Linked DNA regions of Callithrix jacchus. The protein of the gene in region 2 binds, or shares a complex with, the protein of the main gene of each other region. Links are inferred from orthologs where the notes say so. Each region holds a gene or a part of one and is shown on either strand. Other genes may lie near its edges. The genes, in order: UBE2J1, FAM8A1 and HERPUD1.

Region 1 (4,297 bases), about 82 Mb from region 2:
GTTTGGTTGGTTGGCTGGTGTTTTATGTGCGTGTGTGTGTGTGTGCACGCACCCTGCCATACACAGGAGATTGGAATTTTCAGTTGTTTTCCTTCATATAGGCATTACTCTAAAAAATACCACAGGACTGAGAATAAAGCAAAGGAAGGATTTTCAGGATGCCTCCCAGCATTTTCAGTAAGTCTCATATCTCACCTAATTCAACTTCTCTATGAATTCCAAATAATCAACACACTAACAAAAATAGATTTTTAAGAAGCATTGTGGCCGGGCGCGGTGGCTCACGCCTGTAATCCCAGCACTTTGGGAGGCCAAGGCAGGTGGATCACAAGGTCAAGAGATCGAGACCATCCTGGCCAACATGGTGAAACCCCGTCTCTACTAAAAATACAAAAATTAGCTGGGCATGGTGGTGCGTGCCTGTAGTCCCAGCTGCTCAGGGGGCTGAGGCAGGAGAATTGCTTGAACCCAGGAGGCGGAGGTTGCAGTGAGCTGAGGTCACGCCACTGCACTCCAGTCTGGGGCCTGGTGAGGAAGCAAGACTCTGTCTCCAGAAAAAAAAAAAAAAAGAAAAGTAGCATTGTTTTTTAAATCAGCAACACTATCTTTGAGGAAATAAAACCAAAAAAAGGAAGCAATTTATGACAAAGCTAGAAGCATGTCAGCCAAAGCTCAGCCAGTGGATGATAGTTCGCATACTTTGGAAATGTACAAAATTCTGGAGAATTTTAAAAGCTTATCATTGTAGTATTAAGTCTAACCTATTGAAATTGAGTGATGTTTTCTGACAACAATCTCTTGGGTTCCACCAGTTCTCCATTCCAAACTGCACTACTACTCACATGTGGATTATCCTCTGGACCTTTCACTAAGCACCTCTGCTGTCCTAAGGAACCCTGTGAGCAGGGAGCCACCAGATGTTTCTACCCAAATAGTACTAGTTAAATCTACCACAATGTAAATAATTCAATCATACATTAAGCTTTTCTTTCTTCCCCTCTTTCTCTTTGGTCTTTTCTTCCCCCTACCTCCACTCCAGGTTTTTGTTTTGTTTTGTTTTTTTGAGATGGAGTCTTGCTCTGTCGCCCATACTGGAGTGCAATCGCGATCTTGGCTCACTGCAACCTCCACCTCCCAGACTCAAGCCATCTGGGACTACAGGAGTGTGCCACCACCATGCCCGGCTAATTTCTGTATTTTTAGTAGAGACAGGGTTTCCCCATGTTGATCAAGCTGGTCTCGAACTCCAGACCTCAAGTAATTTGTCCCCCACCCCCACAAGCCTCCCAAATGCTGCGATTACAGGCACGTGCCACCATGCCAGGTCTTCATATTTTTTAAGGAGTCAGTGGCCCCTAAAATGTTATGACCAAATCTACACACTTGGTCACCTAAGGACATTTCTAAGCCTGGCAGCACTCAAGCTAACAAAGCTCCCTCAAATCAATATCCTCAGGCTTTTCTGGGATTTTTGCATATTCTGAAACCTTACAAAAACCCCCAGATTCACAATGTCAACTCTTTCCATAAGGATGCTAATTTTGCTAATTCCTACTGAGAAACAGCTTTTTTTGGAAGGAAATTTTAAGCAAAAGCAAGAGTCGGTGAAATCATCATTAATATCCTAGAGTTTGCAGAGTTAACTGTGGAGTTTCTTCCTCCTGGCAAAATTTACCAAGGTACAGATAGAAAAAAATACCATTTAGACGATCCAATGATTCATTTCAAGCCTGTTGTATTAAGCTGAGAACGCTAGTTACTTATCTTTATTATGCACCAGAAAGTAATTAAAGGCTAGGATTGCTGGGACTGCTTGTGTAAATGAAGCAGGATCATTAAATGCAGGAAAAGAATCTCTACGACTGAATATAGATATATTTCATATTAGCCAGTATGGCAAAAATCAAGGTTAGTTCCCATGTACAGGGTTCAACCAGGTATTTTTTGTTTGTTTTGTTTTGTTTTAGTTCTATAGTTAACTGGCTTAGTTACAGAACATTTCCTTTATGTCTGCAATTCTATTCGGCCCAGGTGCCGCAAGTAAGATATTTAAACGACCAACCCCTCAAATGTGAGTAATGCAGCCGGCTAACAGAAGTCCAGTGGCAGTGACCGGGAGGGGATAGCGACGGTGTTCCCGATGCAGGTACAGCAAGGGGTTGTTGACTGTCGCCCACCGACATCACCTTTACACCTGTTCTTAGGGATGAGTTTCTGACCCAGCTCTACGGGACGGGGCGAAGATGGGAAAAGGGAGAGGCCGGGTGCTGCGGCGCGCTAGCCTGCCCGAGGATTAGCAGCGGGCGTTCACCGGGCCACCCCGCCCTGCGGCCTGCACTTCCCGGGCAGGCGGCGGTCTCGCGTAGAGCGCGACACCGGGAGCGGAGCCATGAGTGGCGCCAAACGCTAGGGGACCGCGGCGACCGCCCCGGGGTCCAGGTCACTCTGCCCTCTTCGCCCGGGGGCCCCAGCCTCGCTCACCAGGACTCTTCAGGTTGTAGCGGGTCTCCATGGCGGGTCGCTGGCCTGGCTCCGGCCTCCCGGGCCGCTGCCCGGGTCTCAGCACGGCTCAGGCTGACGCGGTCTGGCCGAGGAGCCTCCGCAGACGCCGCCCAGTCCAGCCCGGACTGCAGGCGGGGTGACGAGGCCGAGTGCGGGCGAGGTGCTGGCTTCGCGATGGCGCCGCCTCCTCCGCTGCACCCCCCGCCTCCCTGAGAGCCGGGCCGGCGCCGGCCGGGCGTCGCTGAACCGGGCGACCGGGCCGGAGATCAGCCTCCTCGGGTAGCCGCAGGCCCAGCCCCGCCGCGGCCGCGGGGCTTGCGTCACCTGCCCTCGTCCGGGTTTTGTGAAGTTGCCTGACGTGGCAGCAGCTTCGTGGCGGTCGGTCACTCCCCAGTCGCCGCCGGCCCCGTAAAGCCGGCTTGGGATCTGCAGGAGCGAGCAGTGTCTTTGTCCCCTCGCCCCGGCCCCCGGAAGCCGAACTTCCCTCTGGCCCTCCGGGGTCCCCAGGCGCTAGGAGCGCCGGCCCTACCCGTTGCAGGAGAGGTCCGGGACCCCCGGGCCCTCGAGAGCTCGGAGGGGGCGCCGGGCTCCGGCTGCAAAGCTGTTCACGCGCGGTCCCGCGGGGTCTGGGAAGGGCTTTGTTTATAGATCCAGTTGCTGTGGCGGGGCAGGGGTGCGGTGGTGGGGGGCGCGGCGAGAAACAGGGGTTAAGTGAGGGGGAGAGGGGAAAGCCAGTGGCGAGGGAATGGAGGAGGATTTTTTTTCCCCCTGTTCAGTCGGAGTCTCGCTCTGTCGCCCAGGCTAGAGTGCAGTGGCGCGATCTTGGCTCATTGCAGCCTCTACCTCCCAGGCTCAAGCGATTCTCCCACCTCAGCCTCTAGAGCGCTGGGACCACAGGTGTGCGCCACCACGCCCGGGTAATTTTTTGTATTTTTGATAGAGACAGGTTTTCACCATGTTGGCCAGGCTAGTCTCTAACTCCTGACCTCAGATTATCTGCCCTTCTCGGCCCCCCAAAGTGCTGGGATTATAGGCGTGAGCCACTGCACTAATCAGAGTTGTATATTAATAATTTTTTTCGAGTAGTGTGTTAGGTGCAAGACACTGTTTTAGGCGTTGCAGAAGTTTGTTTGCTTTTGATTTGTTTAGATTTAAAAGCCGTCAAAAAAAAAGGAATTACATTGAATTGAGAGAAAGCATACAAATATGAAAGATTAAACTTCAAAGAACACACTTCTTGCTTCAGTGTCAAATGTGTGGGATTGAGAGAGGACTATGAGTTCAAAAGACTTGAGAAGGAGTAGGAACCTTAGGACCGGAAAGGAGGGAGGGAATGGGAAGGTGGGGAGGATAGAGAGGATTAATCAGGTTGGGCAAGTGTTATTCTGTTATTTAAAGATACAAAACTCTTAAATTTGATTTGTTTTCTGTTGTTAAATAATCTAAATCCGTGAGTTTCTTAGTGAAATTGGGAGGAAAAAAGTGAAGGATATCTAAAATTAGATGGTATCTTTTAAACCATTCCCCATGTTGTTTTTTGTATAGTAAACTGATAATCTGATTGGCTGAGATATGCGAACAAAACCAAACTTCAGTGCTGCTTCATTCATTCATTGTGTTGGATCTTCGAATTAGCTACCACTTGACATCCTCGCCTGCCACAGCTCCATAAAAGCCCTTAATTTGTGCAATAGGCCCTACCACAGTAAGGCCTGCGAAGCAGATGCTGTATATAATGAGTTCCTATTTGATAGGGGAGTACTAGAAGCCTTTTGCTATTCAGCCTCCAGGTCCA
Region 2 (4,375 bases):
CCTCAGCTCAGGAGTTTGTGACAAGCCTGGGCAACACCGTGAAACCCAGTCTCTACTAAAATAAATACAAAAAATTAGCCAGGCATGGTGGCATGAACCTGTAGTGGCCAGCTACTTGGGAGGCTCAGGCAAGAGAATTGCTTGAACCCGGGAGACAGATGTTGCAGTGAGCCAAGATCCCACCATGGCACTCCAACCTGGGCAACAGAGCGAGACTCTTGTCTCAAAAAAAAAAAAAGTTGAATAAAATCAAACCAGGTTTGGAGGCTCTTTTTACCTATTTTTGATAGGCGAGATTCCCACACATCTTACAGAATTCAGTAGAAAATTTTAGTTATTTCTTAAATCAACAAGAAAACCATAAATCTGACAAAGCCCTCATAAAGAAATCATGAGACTGACAAGCTCATTATCCATATAGTCTCGTGCAGACAAACAGAATTTAACAAAACAATAGTTTTAAACAGTAGAAATAAAAACCTTTCTGCAAATGTCCTCAACTTACTTTATCCCACTGAGGTGCATAATACTTAAGACAATGGTTGCTTTTATAAAGAAGAGAATAAAGAAATCCACCATCTCTGCCATAAATCTGTGAGCCAAGGAGGGAATAACATATTCTCTGCCTGTAAATTTAAAAAAAAAAAAAAAAGAAGTTAGGAAAATCCAATCATTTCACATAAGCCTTGGAACACAAGCCATATAATGAATTGGTAAAGTCAAGGTACAACTTAATAAGAAATATAGCCTTGCAGCAACTATTGATATTGATTCCACCAAGAATCCATGTTATTAGAGTAACAGTACCCCACTATTTACTGAACTTAAAGTTTGCTTTCCTAACTTTAACGTTTAAAATTTGATTTCACACAGCTGGATGCAGTGACTCACATCTGTAATACCAGTACTTTGGGAGGCCAAGGCAGGCAGATTGCTCGAAGCCAGGAGTTCGAGACTGGTCTGGCCCTGGCCAACATGGCGAAACCCCGTCTCAACAAAATATTAAAAAATAAGCCGGGCATGATGGCACATGCCTATATTCCCAGCTACTAGGGAAGCTGAGGTGGCAGGATGGCTTGAACCTGGTAGGCGGAGGTTGCAGCGAGCCAAGATCGCGCCACTGCACTATCCAGCCTGGGCGATAGAGCCAAACCTCGTCCTCCACACCTCCTCCCCCCGCCCCCAGAAGTGATTTAACAGACAAATCTGATTCGAGTACCCAATACATTTCACTAAGAACTCTACTGAGAATCCGAGTGATCACATCTAAGTGACTGAAAATTGATTTTAGTACAAATCAAGGTTATACATTAGCAATTAGTATAAAGTAAATCCCTGTAACCTCTCCTGTGTGTTTAGTTTGTTTTGCTTTCTCTAAAATAAACCCAATGAATATCAATCTGTCATGCTAAATTCTGCTGGGATAAGAGGCATCACGTAGTTCTTGTCCCTTCTATCTGTGGCTAAATAAAATAAACGAAAAGTGTAATAGCTTAAATAGTAAACTAATTCAAAATATTCTAGTTCACACACAGAAGCAAAAACAATTACACAATGTACAAGATCAATAAGCCAGGGCTTCTCGATCAAATGAAGTGAAGCTTTGACCCAATCAAAGCTTCGTAACTCCACTGGTATCCATGTCAATCTCCTTTTATGTCCGTTCAGTTCCACTGTCCTAAGTAGCCAATGTCTGAATAATTTCCAGCATTAACAGTTGAGCACCTCCAAAAGTGAGTTTGCCATCTGCGAGTTTAGCTTTGGACCTCACTCTGCACAGCGTGAAAACCAAAGGAAGAGCAATTTTTTTCACGTAGAAACAACTAGTCCCCATGAGTAGGGGAATCAATTCGGAGTGCCAGGTCTAAAGGAAGAAGAAACTGTTGCCTCCTTGTACATTTTGGGGATTTAGGGCCTGGACAAACGATAGCTAGTGCACGGGCAGGATCGCTAATTGGAGTAGCAGCAGCAGCAGTGACAGGTCTAAAAAGCGTGCCAGCTCTACCCACAGGCCCCTGAAGACCCTTCTACGCCCAGCCTCCTGCTCGCTGGTCTCACCTGCCTGCTGCCTGGTCTCGCTCGGGCTTCGAGAAGGGGCTGCAGATCCTACCCTCGTCACTGGAGTGGCCCGGGCCGACGACTGCACTTGAGGAGCCCGGGGTCCCAGGTTCGCGACTGGAGCAGGGGTGCTGAGGCCGGCAGCTGTCCCCGGGTCGGGCCCCGCAGGCCCGGGGCTCACGAAGTAGAAGGGGTTGTAATAGCCCAGCTGCGGGGCCGGCGGCAGCCCCGCGGCCTGGGGGATGGCAGCGCCGCCCGAGGGGAAGCTCTGCGGAGACGGCTGGGGGCTGCAGTAGGCGGGGAGGGCGGCCAGGCCGCTGTGCCAGGTGAGGTAGCCGCAGTAGGACTGCCACAGCCACTCGTGCACTTGCCGGGAGTACTCACGGGCGCTCAGCCGCGCCTGTCTCTCCCGCGGCGCCGCGGCCTCGGGCGCCTCGCAGCCCGCCTGCTCCGGCGGCCCAGCACCGGAGCCGGAGGCCGCCTCCCCACGCTTCCCAAGCTCGCGCGGGGGCTCTGATTCGTAAGCGGCGGCAGCTGCGAGGCCCGGAGCTGTGGGCCGGCCCGGGGCCTGGGGTTCGTCCTGGGGGTCGTCGCGGGGGCATGGGACGGCGGCGGTAGGAGGCCCTCTCAGGGAAGGGACGGGCTCGTGGTCCCCCCCGCCTTCGTCTTGCCCAGGAGGGCGGCCTCGGGCTTCCTCGGGCCCCTCTGCCATCGTCGTCTCAGCAGCACCCACCGCGGTACCTGTCACTGCTCGGTCTTCCTCCCCAAATTACCCCTCCCCAACAGTCCGTCGCCAACGCCGCAGCCGCAGCCGCAGGCGTAGGCGTCAACAATCCCCGGCCGGAAGCGGAAGCCCCGCCCCTCAGGAGCGACGCCCGCCGCCGGGCGGAGCTGGGAAAAGAGGGCGGGGAAGTGCGGCTGCAGTCCCCGGTTCGGTCCCTGGTAGTAGCTGGCTGGTCGGCTGGGACCAGACCGTCGTGGGCCCCCGCCCCCGTGTCGTGGCTTTAAGTCTGTGGCCTGAGGACTCTCTGTATATTCCCGTGGGGTAGGACCTAGGTTGTCCTGGGAGAAACAGCAGAGGGATAAGAAGCATTTCCGAGACGGGTCTCAGGGCCAGCGCGGCGTTTTCTGTTGCAGAACTGCGACTGTTGTTTTGGGCTCCAGGCTAGTGCTTGGTTGCTTGTGTTCATTCCAGTTAACCATTAGTACTCGAGAAGGTGGCACAGAACGCATCTATACCTTTAGAGGATAAGAAATTAAACCAGGCCGGGCGCGGTGGCTCAAGCCTGTAATCCCAGCACTTTGGGAGGCCGAGGCGGGTGGATCACGAGGTCAACAAATTGAGACCATCCTGGTCAACATGGTGAAACCCCGTCTCTACTTAAAAAAAAAAAAAAAAAAAAAAAAAATTAGCTGGTCATGGTGGGGCGTGCCTGTAATCCCAGCTACTCAGGAGGCTGAGGCAGGAGAAATGCCTGAACCCAGGAGGCGGAGGTTGCGGTGAGATCGCGCCATTGCACTCCAGCCTGGGTAACGAGCGAAACTCCGTCTCAAAAAAAAAAAAAGAAAAGAAAGAAAAAGAAATTAAACTAAACCGGTACATATATTAATATATATAATTTTTTTTATAGTTTTGTTTTTGTATCTTGAGACGGAGTCTCACTCTGTCGCCCAGGCTAGAGTGCAGTAGCACCATCTCGGCTCACTGCCAGCCTCTGCCTCCTGGGTTCAAATTGTTCTTCTGTCTCAGCCTTCCGAGTGGCTAAGATTACAGATGTGTGCCGTGACACCTGGGTAATTTTTGTATTTTTAGTAGAGACGGGGTTTCACCATGTTGGTCAGGCTGGTCTCGAACTCCTGACCTCGTGATCCAGCCACCTCGGCCTCCCAAAGTGCTGGAATTACAGGCGTGAGCCACTGTGCCCGTCCAGGAAAGTATATTGAAATGTAAGTAGTGAGGTGCTATATATATATTTCAGAGGAAGGGGAAATTATGCATGGACTAGAGTACTAACAAAAGGCTCTAAAGCCTGGGATATGCTCAGGGCCTTTCCATAACAGAAAATGAAAAGGCACCTAAATTTGAGACTGGATTTGAGGAAAGGCACAGTTCGGCTGGAGTAGAAAGCTTGTGTTTACCACAGTGGAAAGTAAATTTTCATAAATGCAGACTAGCTACAGGATGAGGACAGAATCCAGCTTTTAAATCAGTATAATCCCTCTTCTTTTACATTTGAAAATCTCTGCAGTGATATGTCCGTGTTATCCCCAGCACCATACAAAGGACATATAAGGGCCAATACAGTGGGAATGTTTA
Region 3 (3,609 bases), on a different chromosome or scaffold from region 2:
GAACTTCTGGGAGTGAAATGCTGACCTTTGTTACTCTTTCTTTCCATGGTCAGCATCCAGAGGACCAGAGATTAATTTATTCTGGCAAGCTGTTGTTGGATCACCAATGTCTCAGGGACTTGCTTCCAAAGGTACATCACCTAAACATTAATTTCTGCATGTTTTTAAGCACTCACCAGGTTAGGTTCAGGTCCTTAAGTAACTTCTTTTTACTTTTAGCAGGAAAAACGTCATGTTTTGCATCTGGTGTGCAATGTGAAGAGTCCTTCAAAAATGCCAGAAATCAGTGCCAAGGTGTGTCTGCTTCTTCATGATGATAACAGTTTGCATCATTCAGACTTAAGGAGTTGGATAAAACTGTTATTGAGAGACTGTATGGTGTTATTACCAAGTAATATTTTGATTCTTTCCTAGGAATTAGAGACTGTATTATCAACACACGTGATGGGTTAATGTAGCAAAGTGTTCCATTAGCACTGTGGTAGAAAAGTGGACTTACATATTGCACTATCTTCTGGGATGTCATCTGATCTATGGTTATTACGTATCTAGATTACTGAACTAACACTAATTGGGTTTTTATTGAATTTAGCACATAGCGAGGTTTCTTCAAAGAACCATTAATTTTTTTTTTTTTTTTTTTTGAGACGAAGTCTTGCTCTGTCACCCAGCCTGGAGCGCAATAGCATGATCTCTGCTCACCACAACTTCTGCCTCCTGGGTTGAAGCAATTCTGCAGCCTCAGCCTCCAGAATAGCTGGGATTATAGGCACATGCCATCATGCCTTGATAATTTTTTGTATTTTTAGTAGAGATGGGGTTTCACCATGTTGGCCAGGGTGGTCTCAAGCTCCTGACCTCGTGATCTGCCCACCTTGGCCTCCCGAAGTGCTGGGATTACAGGTGTGAGCCACCACATCTGGCTGGAGCCATTAATTTTATAAAGAGTATAAAAGTGAATATATTTTCTTTGGAAATTTTCATTGTAATTAGTTGGATAGGAAAAGGTCAGAGTCTTTATCAAGTGATCCATAAAGAATTTTTCTTTTAAATTGGTCTCACTTTGTTGCCCAGGCTTTTCTCAACCTCCTGAGGGCAAGCGATCCTCCCACCTCAGCCTCCTGAGTAGGGCATGTGCCACTGGACCTGGCTTTAAAGACTCATATGTGACAGACAAAAGCATTTATTTTTCATTTTACAATGTTTATTCACATATATGGTATTAGTATTCTAATGGAGTGATGCATTCTAAATTTGTATTATATTTCCTAAAATATTTGAACAGAGCATAGGAAATTCCCTATTTTGCCATTATCAGATCTAACAAAAATCTTAAAGGCACTTTGTTTCATTTTCATGCACTGTAAATTTTTAAAGATGATCAAAAACAGTATCATATCAAGACTGACTTGTATTGGAATACTATTTTAGAAAGTTGTGGGCTGGGTTATATTTATAAATCTTGTTGGTCAAATTTCTGTGATGAGCAAACTTAACAGCATCATCAGAAAGCTTTCTCACCAATGATAACTTCATTGGAAGCTTTTAATGAAAGTGTAGCATAGTTACTCTAGGGAAAGATAGGAATATTTTAGTATCTATGTATTGAAAATTGTGTTGACTAAATGTCAGAATATTTTTTACATAACAATGCTTCTATTTAATATTGTCATGTTCAGAGGTGGAGGGTAGGAGACATAAGCCATTGACAGCAAAATAATTTTTTTCGCTTGATTTCAGACAGTTGCATCAGCTCCTTTGTTCTGTGTTCATGTTACACTTGTTTAGGTGGCTGAATCCACAGAGCAGCCCACTGGTTTTAATCAGGGACAGTATCCTGGGGATTCCTCAAGTGATGATTTAAGGCAAAGGGAAGTTTTTCGGAACCTTTCTTCCCCTGGATGGGAAAACATCTCAAGGTGAGCGTTATAATAACTTGGACCGTACAACATGAGTGTGCCTCATTTGCATCAATTTAAGAATAAGGTGTGTTTACACGTATATAATCAGAACTTTTAAATGTATAGAATTTTGCTTTATAAGTAGCTTCACTTTAAAGAGCTCCTATATTTAACTTAATACACAGACTTTTAGTATACACAAATTTTAAAAGTTGGCAATGCATATATTGAAAAAAGAAAATGTAGGCGTTTTATCCTTCCATTGTGCTGACCACTTGGCTGCTGTCATGATAGGAAATTAGTGCTGCTGCAGGAAGAAACAGCTGTTGTAAGCATCGTGCAGCTGCTTTGCTAAGTGGCTTTGTGCTTTATTCTAACAATGGGTGACCACAAGGGAGAAACTGTTTAAGAAGTGTTCCTCCAAAGACTTGGGGGCACTAGGAAAATTGGCCATCTCTTTATAACTACTAAAGCTTTTTCTCTAGAGCAAAAGTCAGAACTAAATGCTCTGTTATTTGGATTTTTCTAACTCTTGGAATACCTTGTTTTATGAAAGTACTTTTGGGGAAAAAATTTGTTAACCACATGTTGAAATTCTGTAACTCTCCAATTACCTGTCCCCCTTTTCCTAGTAGTTTTTATATGCAATATTTTCTAAAGCCAGGTGTTTTAGGAATTTATTTTTTTTCCCCCTTAATGGAACTTTCAAATATACAAATATACACAACAGTGGGGACTGTATCATTAATACCCACACCATCCACCCAGGCCTAAGAAATAATGTTCAGAGTTTTACCATATCTCATCTATTACCCTTTCCCTTTTTTTTTTTTAAGTATTTAAAGGTAATTCCTAGACATTATTTCATCCCTGTATACTTCAGTATATAACTGTAAAAACCTTTTCGTTATCTTGTGTATCTAGAATGCCATTATCAAATCTAACAGAAACCTTAAAATCACTTTATCATTTCATTTCTATGCATTGTAGTTTTCTTAAATGATCAAAAACAGTGTCATACCAAGGATGACTTGTATTGGAATACTGTTTTAGAAATACTCTGTATGGACTTTAGTTAAAAGATTGTCAGCATATAAGTTGGATAATTATTGGATAGAAAATTATTGATTAGAAAAACTTACAACTACATCCCTTATTCTGATTCAACTGTTCTTGAGAATTGAAGGCCATATTTGACTCTCTGAATTTCACCATATTTAAACTTGATTTCATTTAACAAATATTTATTGAACAGCCAGTACATATAACTTTGCTTAAGGATACAAGTTGACCTGCAGGAATGGCCACATAACCAATTCCTGATCTTCCGGCAATTCTATTATGATTTCAATTTTGTGATGTGCTACCAAAGAAGTTCACTGTGTAAGAAGCACGAAGCCAAAGATGACTCGCATACACCTGCCTGACAAAGTTGAGGGCTGTGTGGCGTGATTAAAGAGGCGTGCATTTGACATCAGACCAGCTCTGAAATCCAGTCCTGCTGCTTATTAGCTCAGTGACCTTGTGCAAAGCCCATGTCTTCCCTGAGCTGTACTTGGGCTCCCCTTGTAAAAATGTCCTTCATGAGATTGCTGTGGATCTAGAAGCCTGTAAAGGACCCCAGGTGGTCAGTACGCATGCACAAGTGATGACATGCACACATCACTATAGATACAGATCTAGGGAACAAGTGGCTATTGGGAAGATG

What was found.
Region 1: FAM8A1 (region 2) and UBE2J1 share a complex: the UniProt entries of both Homo sapiens proteins name them as parts of the HRD1 complex. The link is inferred for Callithrix jacchus from reciprocal best matches to the Homo sapiens genes FAM8A1 and UBE2J1.
Region 3: FAM8A1 (region 2) and HERPUD1 share a complex: the UniProt entries of both Homo sapiens proteins name them as parts of the HRD1 complex. The link is inferred for Callithrix jacchus from reciprocal best matches to the Homo sapiens genes FAM8A1 and HERPUD1.

What each region holds. Positions count from the first base shown.
Region 1 is NC_133505.1:95,402,659-95,406,955, forward strand, and holds the start of UBE2J1 (ubiquitin-conjugating enzyme E2 J1), read right to left. Parts: upstream 2,802-4,297; 5' UTR 2,513-2,801; coding exon 2,482-2,512; intron 1-2,481. UniProt on the Homo sapiens protein: Catalyzes the covalent attachment of ubiquitin to other proteins. Functions in the selective degradation of misfolded membrane proteins from the endoplasmic reticulum (ERAD) and is essential for cells to recover from ER stress.
Region 2 is NC_133505.1:13,151,917-13,156,291, forward strand, and holds the start of FAM8A1 (protein FAM8A1), read right to left. Parts: upstream 2,895-4,375; 5' UTR 2,771-2,894; coding exon 2,059-2,770; intron 627-2,058; coding exon 506-626; intron 1-505. UniProt on the Homo sapiens protein: Plays a role in the assembly of the HRD1 complex, a complex involved in the ubiquitin-proteasome-dependent process of ER-associated degradation (ERAD).
Region 3 is NC_133521.1:14,811,152-14,814,760, forward strand, and holds part of HERPUD1 (homocysteine-responsive endoplasmic reticulum-resident ubiquitin-like domain member 1 protein), read left to right. Parts: intron 1-53; coding exon 54-131; intron 132-219; coding exon 220-294; intron 295-1,788; coding exon 1,789-1,919; intron 1,920-3,609. UniProt on the Homo sapiens protein: Component of the endoplasmic reticulum quality control (ERQC) system also called ER-associated degradation (ERAD) involved in ubiquitin-dependent degradation of misfolded endoplasmic reticulum proteins.